Linked DNA regions of Nothobranchius furzeri. The protein of the gene in region 3 interacts with the protein of the main gene of each other region in a pairwise test. Links are inferred from orthologs where the notes say so. Each region holds a gene or a part of one and is shown on either strand. Other genes may lie near its edges.

Region 1 (3,755 bases), on a different chromosome or scaffold from region 3:
CAAGATACTATCTCATAACAATGAGATACTAAGCCATAATCATGAGATACTAAGTCATAATTATGAGATAGTATTTTATATAATAAGATACTATATCATAATAATGAGATGATAAGTAATTATTAAGAGATACTCAGTCATATTTATGAGATACTATCTCGTAATAACAAGATACTATCTCATAATAATGAGATATTAAGTCATGATTATGAGATATCTCATAAAGGTAAGATTCTAAGTCATAAGGATGAGATACTATGTCATGATTAACATATACTATCTCATAACAATTAGATATTAAGTCATAATTATGAGATACTATCAAATAATAATTAGATACTAAGTCATAGTCATGGGCTAGTGAGATATTTTTTATTATCTGAGTGGCGGGATTAGGCTTCCACAGAAACCAACATGCAAAGATGACAAAACATAAAACTGTGATTTGGTCTTTTCCACTATCCATCCATTTTCTTTACCCGCTTGTTCTTGCAGGGTCGCGGGGGTCTAGTGCGCCTTTTCCACTACTGGTGTTCAATTGGGTTAAAAAAATGTAATAGATACTGTTTTTGTTTGAATCTTACTCTTGAGTCTGAATCAGAATTAGATAATTTAAGATTAAAAATCTTACGTTTTTTTATTGTTAGGCAAGAATCATGTTACAAGAAGTGTGGAGTTTCCGCTTTAGACATTTCACATCCGTTTAACTCTTTAGCATGCTGACAGTATTTACAGAAGTGCTAACAGAGAAAGGGATTACAAGCCTTAAGGCTGTTCTCCTTGCCTGCACAGTCAGAGAGAAGAGAACCACACGTTCTACATATGACTTTACTCATCCTTCACAGTCAGACATGCATTAGTGGAGGGCTTTTCTAAACGCAAAATCATGGTGCCACAGAACTTCAGGGGCTGACGTTTCATCGGTGCAACTTCCTCATTTGCAAATTTTTGTTGCATGTGACCTAGAAGCACACTCCTGAAACAAGAACAAAAACCTGACAGGCAAAACACACACACACACACACACACACACACACACACACACACACACACACACACACACACACACACACACACACGCATAAAATCCTCCACCAGGAGAGCTGTAGGCACCTCACCTACCTGGACCTTCTAAACCCTGATGAGGCTGTGTGGACAGGGCTGGAGCAGGATTCCTAGTGGGGCTGAAGAATAGAAAAGCATGATGCTCCGGCAGTCTCTGAGCATCTTCAAGCAGCTCGGATCAGTGACAAAGTAAGCCTGTACTAGCTATAACAGTAGAAATGGAATCATGTACGCTGTTGTGTGCCACGTTTGTGTATATTTTTAAGTTGTTTGAACCCCAGCGTGTCACTGGAAGAGTAGTAGAAGTGAATGTGACTTGTTGTCTGTTTGATAAGTCAAACAACTCAAGCAACAGCAGGTCACATCAGGTTTAAGCTGCATGACTCCATTTGAACTGGACTTGGTCCAGATATCATAATCCAGCAGCCATCATGGACTCTGCAGAAGAAGGTTTCATTTATTGCTTTGAGGAAATTCTCGCTCTGTCCATGATTTCATTTTTAGTGCGAGTGAAGCTGCTGTTAGTCACTGCTGCTTGTTCCTCTTGAAAGTGATACGTTTGGGTTAAGTATTGGGGGGAGGGGGTTCAAGTCATGGTTTGGGTCGGCTTGTACTTTTTTTTGTTCTGTGATGATGAAACCTGAACATAAAAGAACTCCTTAAATTACCCCGGTTAGAAAACATGTGGGAGCCACCAACTTCACACCTTCCTCTGTTGAGTGTGTGCAGCAGGACTTTAGTGGTTTGGTTGCAGGCAGTGCAGCCTTCCTCTGTGACGCACTTTTCTTTAATACTGAACTACGTGCATCTGCAGCAGAGACATGTGGGCTCCACATATCACACATGCCAATTTGCAATGATGCCCTGAGCTTCAGCCGTGCACACACACACACCAAGAACATCACCTTTTCTTGTTTTTATTTTAAAAAAAAACTACATTTCCTCTTCCCATGTGAAAATAAGAAGGAGGAAGTTGTTTATGCTTCAGACCAGCTCAGAATATATCCTTTAAACCTTCAGATGTCTTTTCAGGAGGAAATCGTTTGCACCTCATGTGTGCTGACGCTCATGTGGTCCCTCCATGAATGGGACTGGGCTTCCTTTAGGTGGAACAGCAAGCATGACGATGTTCACCAGAGAAGAGTTATTTAGAGAGGCAGAGCCTAAACAAGCTGATGTGCTAAATGAGATCATGTTCTTCTGACCATAACTAAGATAGGTTTCCTATTAGTGTCCTTTGCTCTTGATACCAAACTCTCAAAACTTCATCAGCCCACTCCCTCCATGCTTCACATGTCTTTTGTTTCTCACCTCTGAAAGCAGACAGATGAAGTTTCAGAGCAGAGGAGGTGCAAAGTGGGAGACTGATGTTTTCAATGTCAGAAACAGCTGTGAGATCAGTAGATTAGTGCAACCCTGTCACTCTAAGGGTTGCATCAGTGCAAAAACACCACATGTTAGTTAGATTTTAATATTTTATGAGAACAAACAGGAAGATTCAGAGGTGGACAGATGCCCTTTGATCTGTTTGTCTTTCAGTTTGTTGACAGAGACAGAGATAAGGAAAGTTTGTGGTAAAAAGTTCTCAGAATTTACGTCTACATAAAAAAAAGGCTATTAAATACAAAGAACAAAAAGGTACACACACACACACACGTGCACACACACATCTAGTTCATTTACAAAACATTTTCGATCGAAATCACCAAATTTTATTTTGAAAATTTCCAAAAATGGAATTGCATTTTGTTTTACAAATGAGCTCATGTCTACATAAACAGCCAGTTCTCATTATGTACAGAAGCCTATTAGGGCCACTAGTCAGAATGTCACTACAACAGCTGAAATCCTATTTCCAGAAAAATGTCTAAAGTAAGCTGTTTGAAGATTTGTGAAGGAAGCAATGTTTATTGTGTTCCTGAACCCTCCAAAAAGCTTATTAGTATTGTTTTATAATAAAACTCCACTAGTTTATATTGTGTTTGAGACTCTTATTGTGAAGGATTTAAGGAAGTTGTGCTGAAGATGCTGCTACAAGAGCACATATAGGGACTAGCTCCATTCAATAGGCGGCCCACTGGCCCATTGCCCAGATACCTCTTCGTAATTTTTTTATTTAATTGCTGCAACTTAATTGTAAGTGTGATCGTTAACGTTTTGCAATATTTTAAGGCAAGTATTTATTTGCCATTTATGCTGCTAGTGGAAAGTTTACAACAGCAGTTTCTTGGGAAAACAAGTCACAAAAGAGAGGAGACATATGGTTGACAGTGAAAATAAAAAAATTAAGTGACATCTGGACTGTTAAGTCCAAAAAGCTGAGGGAAACCCATATGCCTTGTCCATCGTGTCATTTGCTCAGTAGATGGAGAATACAATTTACGGAGGCTTTTCTAGACAACTCACCAACAGACTCAGCGAATCAACAAACAAAAATAAAGAAACTGACTCTAAACTATCAGCAAAGTTGTGTGATTTTCACTTGGAACCCTACATTAACATCTCTGAATTGTGTGCATACTGACTAAAAAGAAAAGACAATGGCACAATACAAGAGATGGATGAGCAGCCCACTGGCAAAAGTATGGGGAGAACAAAAGATACACACACACACACAAATCTAGATACACACAGATCTTTTTTCTCTGCATACAAAAGCCTTATGACGATTTGCCCCAACAAAAAGATCA
Region 2 (3,755 bases), on a different chromosome or scaffold from region 3:
GGCCGCAGTAGTGGAATTGCTCTGATTGACTACAACGGGACCGATTTTGCTCCGGCGTTCGTGTCGGAGCGGAGCGGAGGTAGTGGAATTTGGGGGTAAGGGACCTAAAATGTACCAAGAAAACTTCCCCCACACCATTACACCACCACCACCAGCCTGCACAGTGGTAACAAGGCATGATGGATCCATGTTCCCATTCTGTTTACGCCAAATTCTGACTCCAACATTTGAATGTCTCAACAGAAATCAAGACTCATCAGACCAGGCAACATTTCTCCATTCTTCAACTGTCCCATTTTGGTGAACTGGTGGTAATTGTAGCCTCTTTTTCCTATTTGTAGTGGAGGTGAGTGGTACCCCGTGGGGTCTTCTGCTGTTGTACCCCATTCACCTCAAGCGTGTGCGTGTTGTGGCTTCACAAAAGCTTTGCTGCATTCCTTTGTGGTAACGAGTGGTTATTTCAGTAAAGTTGCTCTTCTATCAGCTTGAATCAGTCGGCACATTCGCCTCTGACCTCTAGCATCAACAAGGCATTTTCGCCCACAGGACTCCTGCATACTGGGTGTTTTTCCCTTTTCACACCTTTCTTTATCAACCCTAGAAATGGTTGTGGGGGAAAATCCCAGTAACTGAGCAGATTATGAAATACTCAGACCAGCCCATCTGGCACCAACAACCATGCCACGCTCAAAATTGCTTAAAGCAGCTTTCTTTCCCATTATGACATTCAGTTTGGAGTTCAGGAGGTTGTCTTGACCAGGACAACACCCCTTAATGCACTGAAGAAACTGTCATGTGATTGGTTGATTAGATAATTGCATTAAGGAGAAGTTGAACAGGTGTTCCTAATAATCCTTTAGGTGAGTGTAGAACAGCCTCACTGAAAAAAAATTTATTTAATGATTATTTCTGATTCTAATGGGTCACTCCGAGTGTTTCATGCAGGCTGAACATGAAAATAGTCTCCTACAGCCATCTCCTGCATTAGCTTCTGATAGAAAATAGACGGTGAAACTCTAAGATATGAAAAGCCTGACAGATGTGACTCAGGGCGTAAGGCAAAGCCCAGAAAGACAAGAAAATAACTTTTATAGCCCAGTTCACTAACATTTTTTTTCTTCTTTTGATCGGGGACCCATGAGCCAACCAGAAGGGGAGGAGACTGGCTCCCCATTAGCCAGATCCAGTTTGATTACCTGTCAACGTGGATGTTTTATTAAAAAAAGCTGTTTTTGTGTCAGTATGGTTTTATTTTTATTTAATAATATGAATGTAGGATATGTGGGTAGAGATGTGTAAACAGATTTAATACAAGACTAAAGCTGTGAAAATTGAGTCTTAATTGATCTGACTCTCATCAGAATATTTTAAACAACATCAGCCAACAATGCTGACCAACAATCTGAAAAATCTGTTTGCTTCTGACAGAATGAAAAAAGAAATAACAATTCACTCACAACAACAGCTGTAACTACATTATTATTCAGATGGCCAAAAGAAAAAAACAGTGGCCAAAATTGCAGACTAAATGCACCAGAATGCAGGGTTTAACACTTGTTTTTTCAAATATTTCTAAGGAAGCGTGTACAGAATTTATTTTATTCTTAAGCCGTACTGCCCAGCCCTACTTGTTATGGGATTACATAAATGTAACTGTGTTCACTTATTATCACATTCAAATCTTCCTCTCATCAGCCACCTAAAACCATCCCACTCACTGTAGCACCTACCTGCACCTCAGCAGGTCTGGTTCTCCCTGTCTCACCTTCTTATCATTTTGCTGCTGAACTTCATCTGATCTCTTATATGAACAAAGTGACAAGAATAAGGTTTAAAAATAAAATTTGATGAGAATGTCACAAACAAGCAACAGTCACACTTACAAACGCCATTTTTAAGTGGAGATTCTACTTATTTCCTGTCAAACGGTTTTTGTCTGTTACTGTAAAATTCGCCATTTTTTATTGACTAGTTGTGTTGTTTAATCCTCCCACTGTGCTAATGGGTGACCCCATGAGGAAAGTTGACCATTGAGCAGAATTGATGGTTCATCCCTTGAGGTCCATGTGGCAGGGGTGAGGAGTGAGTACCACCTCACCCCTGCCACATGGACCTCAAGGGATAAACCATTGATCCTGCTCAATGGTCAACTTTGCTCACAGGGTCACCCATTAGGACAGTGGGAGGGTTAATGTTTAATGCTGCCTAGCAAGATGTTTACAGTAGTCAACCAGTCTAACGTTTGACCAAAAATACAATTATCCTCTTGGACAAAATTATTACCAACTCACATTTCCTTTCTTTCTTTTTTTGCGCATGAGAAAGAACTCGTTGAGCTGCTGTCGTCTCATCTCTGACACCTGTGTCCGTGCCCCGGCTCTGACTCCTGCTTCACTCAGCCAGCCTGTCTGACTCCCTGAGGGGAGGGGCTGTTTAGGTGAGAAATCTGCAGTGTCTTTCAAAATAAAAGCTTGCGAGTCAAATATTTCAAAATCTATTTTTTTTTTCATCTCCATGTTATTGGGGGGACAAATATGTGTTTGCCCAATATTGGAGAGGACTAGGGCTGGGGCAAACGATTATTTTTAAAATGATTATTCTGACGATTATTTTATCGAATAGTCGACTATTCTAATGACTATTTAGACAGTTAATCTAATGATTATTTTTCTATTGCACAGTTAATAAAAACCAAAAAATCTCTAATAAATTTCTCAAAAAATTTATAAATTGTTACTGTAAGAGAATAAACACTACAGGCCTTCCATTTTGTACAACTCTGCTTTTATTGTGTTGCGGTTGGTTATGTTCTGGTGACATGTAGAACTTGGGAGTGCAGGCTGCTGCCTGCGAGGTGGTTGGAGACAGAATGTCTCCATGCTGCTTTGTTTTGGTCACTTATGAGCGTGAGGCGAGTGGTGCTACAACCCTTCCTGGGGAGTTTGGCTCGTGTGTAAAAAGGAAGGGACAATAACACGGGATTTAAAAGTTAAAATGATGATCAGGTTTACTTACAACTACAACAAAAATCATAAATCTTTCCATCCACAGGTTGGGAATAATAAAACTAATCCTGCCTGTGGGGAATTAAAACAAAAGTACAAATAAGTAGGGATGTCCCACTGGGCAAAGATTACTGGGTTCTGGACCAAAAGAAGAATCTCCAAAGGTCCAAACTCTAAACTGGGCGGTTAAACCAAACTCGAGGTGATATTTTAAACTAAACCGAAAACCCACAACCCTCTAAATGTAATAAAAGGGAGATCTGCGCCACAAAAAAGATGAACTCTAAACCAAAATGTAACAGCAAGAAGCTGTTAGCGAAAATGCTAACAGTATCTTTACCAACATTAAGTTCAAGTTACCGAGTTTAAATAAACCAAAATACCCAGCAGCAAACAGACCAGCACAGAGAGACTGCTACCACCAAAACAGCTCTCCTAATGTCTGAAAGAATCTCCTTTATGAAGGGAGAAACACTCCCGGTGACGTTCTACATCTGCGATAGAGACGGAGCAGCGCATCTGACCCCGGAAGTTGTTGTCCGTTGCCGGGAGACGAAGGCGGGCAAAACAGGAAAGGAATCTAGTAGCGGACGGACATTGTTCTGGGTCTTCGGTATTTGGCGGAGATGTTAGTGAAGGCGGAGAAGAGGGCGAGCTAGAGAAAAAACAGGCAGATTCCACCACTGTTTACAATATTATCATATCATATTCTAATTCTTCGGGTTTGACTCGTGTCTAAAGAGATAATGT
Region 3 (3,755 bases):
AGAACTCAGGTAGAACCCAGATAGAACTCAGACACAACCAGCAGAACTCAGGTAGAACCCAGACAGAACTCAGACACAACCAGCAGAACTCAGGTAGAACCCAGATAGAACTCAGACACAACCAGCAGAACTCAGGTAGAACCCAGATAGAACTCAGACACAACCAGCAGAACTCAGATAGAACTCAGACACAACCAGCAGAGCTCAGGTAGAACTCAGATAGAACTCAGACACAACCAGCAGAACTCAGGTAGAACTCAGATAGAACTCAGACACAACCAGCAGAACTTAGGTAGAACCCAGAAAGAACTCAGACACAACCAGCAGAACTCAGGTAGAACCCAGATAGAACTCAGACACAACCAGCAGAACTCAGGTAGAACCCAGACACAACCAGAAGAACTCAGGTAGAACCCAGACAGAACTCAGAACCCAGACAGGACCAGCAAAACCCAGACAGAACTCAGATACAACCAGCAGAACTCAGGTAGAACTCAGACACAACCAGCAGAACTCAGGTAGAACCCAGACACAACCAGCGGAACTCAGGTAGAACCCAGATAGAACTCTGACACAACCAGCAGAACTCAGGTAGAACCCAGACACAACCAGCAGAACTCAGGTAGAACCCAGATAGAACTCAGACACAACCAGCAGAACTCAGGTAGAACTCAGATAGAACTCAGACACAACCAGCAGAACTCAGGTAGAACCCAGATAGAACTCAGACACAACCAGCAGAACTCAGGTAGAACCCAGACACAACCAGCAGAACTCAGGTAGAACCCAGACAGAACTCAGGCACAACCAGCAGAACCCAGAAAGAACTCAGACACAACCAGCAGAACTCAGGTAGAACCCAGACACAACCAGCAGAACTCAGGTAGAACCCAGACAGAACTCAGAACCCAGACAGGACCAGCAGAACCCAGACAGAACTCAGATACAACCAGCAGAACTCAGGTAGAACCCAGATAGAACTCAGACACAACCAGCAGAACTCAGGTAGAACCCAGATAGAACTCAGACACAACCAGCAGAACTCAGGTAGAACCCAGACACAACCAGCAGAACTCAGGTAGAACCCAGACAGAACTCAGAACCCAGACAGGACCAGCAGAACCCAGACAATACTCAGACAGAACCAGCTCAACCCAGACAGGACCAGCAGAACCCAGACAGAACCAAAACAAATTCAGACAGAACCCAGACACAACCAGAACCAGCAGAACCCAGACGGAACCCAATGTTCTTTGGTGAGCGCGGTCCCTTTAAGACTTAGGATTTGGGAGTGACGCGGATAAAGAGCTAGTCGTCCCTGTTTCCTTCGCTATGAAAACTATTTAGGTTAACTCGGCCAGCGGCTGCCAGCTCCAGCAGACGAGGTAATTATGAAGCCGGTTCGCTTGAGCTGTTGAAGAAGCCGTGACCGGAGAGCTCCGTGGTTAACCGTGAACTTTAACGGGTCGGGATTGGATCCGCCAGGGCCGCCCTCCGAGCTGTCGGGATAACTTTGGAGAAGTTCTTCGTATTCCGGCTGAACATGGACTGGGGCACAGAACTTTGGGTGAGTCCATCATCTGACTCCGTTGAGTAGAAACACTGTAAAACGCAACGATGGCTGCTGTTTGCTCTGACAAAGTTGGGTTTGTCTGCAGAAGACGCGCCGAACTCCGTTTGCAGAACGATGCGTTCACGAACACTTTTTTTCCTTCGCTTCACATAAAAGCGGTTTATTCTGGAAAAATGCATTAAAAAGCCTCTTCAAATCATATGACTCTAGTAATTTAAATCAAATGACATTTCAGGTGATTTTCATGCTATCAAAAGCGTTGCATATAAAGTAAACTGATTTAAGGTGAAACGCGTGTTAAATTTCCGTTTTTTTACTTTTTAAGGATGTTTAAGTACTCTGGTGAAGGACGTGCAGGATGCTTCTTTGTTTATATTTTGTCACACTTGGCTTCCATAGAGATGGAATCAGCTGCTGGTGTGACCTGGCAACAGGCTCCATCTTGATTAGGTGGTTTCTCTGAGTGAAAGTACACAAAAACAGCTTTCTGACGTAAATGCTGGGCAGCACATGTTTCAGTTAACAACCAGGAGGCTGTAAAAGTCCCTAACCCTAACTGTTCAGGAGGCCGGCCCAATCAAGAGTGGTCCGGCTTTGCAGCAAACATGGAGCTACTTCCTGAAGGCAGAAGCGAGCAGCTTCAGTCTGAACACAACCATCACACACGTTCTCAGGGAACCTGCTTTGTAAAATGGAGCATTGCAAACTGCAAAGAGGAGGACAGGGAGGTTGTGACCTCATTACTGTCCCCCTCCCATCCTCCCCCCCCCGGGCCTTCCCCCGTCCCCCTTTTTCTCCCTATGCAGTGGTGCAACAGCCTAATTAGTTTTGCCCTACTTTGATTCACAGAAACATTGCTGCTCCTGTTAATCAGAAACTATTTCTACTGCAGGGCTCTGCAGCACAAATGCACACAAAAGTCTGCTGTTTTTAGTTAGCGATTAATAATCTCATGCACATGTAGAAATATATTAACCTCTAGTTGTTTGTTTTAGAGTCTAACCCCACCTGGATGAGCCTGCAGGCCTAATTGGTTTTGTTAATGTTTGGCTGGAGTCAAACTCGTAGACCTGGTCAGCTCTTTGGCATCTGCTCCCCTGATTGTTTTTAATCCGGTGGCTATTTTAAGGCACTGGTTTGCTCAGTCCAAGATGAGTGTCTGGGCTTTTAGTTGTGACTAGAACAGCAACTCCCGTGTGGCGGGTCTGGCAGGGCCATGCCTTTAATGCCTTTCATTATCGACAAGAACGTTTGACGCTGAGCTGAATCATTCACAGAAACGTTTGAAGGTGGTGAGTTGCCGTGTGACGTTTCATGACTTTTCCTTGATGTAGTTATTGAAATGATAGGAAGTTGATTTGCCACAGTCATATCTTTGTTGCCCCCACCTCATTATAATATGTGTAGTAAAAATAAAGGGCGGCTGCTTTTTTAAGAGTAGATTCTGTAATTATCAGGGAGTTATCCTCCCTGCATAAGAAGTGAAATGAAGGAGTTGAATGAGTGTCACCAGCTTTAAAAGCTTTAGGCGATTTTATGATGCGTTACAAATGCAAAGGAAATCATATTTTCTGTGGTGCTTTCCCTGCAAAATAGAACATTTATGTCACATAAGAGCTGGCTGAAACAATCAAATGTTTTCTGTGAAAGTCAGCTGACTACTGCAAACCATCTTTATGCAGTTAAACTAACAAAGCAAATTTTTCAGATGTATGAATGCACTTGTAGTTCGAAATCATCCTGATGTCACAAACAAAAAATACGTATTTTTCTATTGTCATTTCCATCCAGCAAACATCTCCCGAAAGTCTTTCAAGTAGTACAATTTATTTATTTATGAAATTTTACCATAATGCCAAATTGTCTCTTTAATAAACAGTTCATTGTAGAAAGTTCAATAATTATTTTAAGATGCTACATGGCTTTCCCAGACTCTGAAAACTTCCCTGTGATATATTAGTTGTCTTGTCGTTTCCAGATCTGTCTTTTTCTGCAAATCTCATCAGAAAGCTGCTTTCACCGTTTGTGTTCTCAGAACACTTTCCTGAAATCAGAAGTATTCAGTAGATGAGAGGAAGCTGTTTAAAAAAAAAAATTGCACCTGTCACAAAACTTCCTCATATTTTAACAACATAATTACTTCTACATAAATACTTTTATCTATGGGCTGATCTAATCTGGG

The links. The genes of interacting proteins can lie anywhere in the genome.
Region 1: the proteins of trip10a (region 3) and sh3bp1 interact in binary tests that used the Homo sapiens proteins (3 or more experiments, as listed by UniProt). The two-hybrid records come from large-scale screens. The link is inferred for Nothobranchius furzeri from reciprocal best matches to the Homo sapiens genes TRIP10 and SH3BP1.
Region 2: the proteins of trip10a (region 3) and arhgap17b interact in binary tests that used the Homo sapiens proteins (3 or more experiments, as listed by UniProt). The link is inferred for Nothobranchius furzeri from reciprocal best matches to the Homo sapiens genes TRIP10 and ARHGAP17.

The regions. Positions count from the first base shown.
Region 1 is NC_091756.1:27,546,640-27,550,394, reverse strand, and holds the start of sh3bp1 (SH3 domain-binding protein 1), read left to right. Parts: upstream 1-1,062; 5' UTR 1,063-1,201; coding exon 1,202-1,254; intron 1,255-3,755. UniProt on the Homo sapiens protein: GTPase activating protein (GAP) which specifically converts GTP-bound Rho-type GTPases including RAC1 and CDC42 in their inactive GDP-bound form.
Region 2 is NC_091752.1:55,847,616-55,851,370, forward strand, and holds the start of arhgap17b (rho GTPase-activating protein 17b), read right to left. Parts: upstream 2,699-3,755; 5' UTR 2,517-2,698; coding exon 2,292-2,516; intron 1-2,291. UniProt on the Homo sapiens protein: Rho GTPase-activating protein involved in the maintenance of tight junction by regulating the activity of CDC42, thereby playing a central role in apical polarity of epithelial cells.
Region 3 is NC_091745.1:3,269,145-3,272,899, reverse strand, and holds the start of trip10a (cdc42-interacting protein 4 homolog), read left to right. Parts: upstream 1-1,352; 5' UTR 1,353-1,543; coding exon 1,544-1,567; intron 1,568-3,755. UniProt on the Homo sapiens protein: Required for translocation of GLUT4 to the plasma membrane in response to insulin signaling. Required to coordinate membrane tubulation with reorganization of the actin cytoskeleton during endocytosis.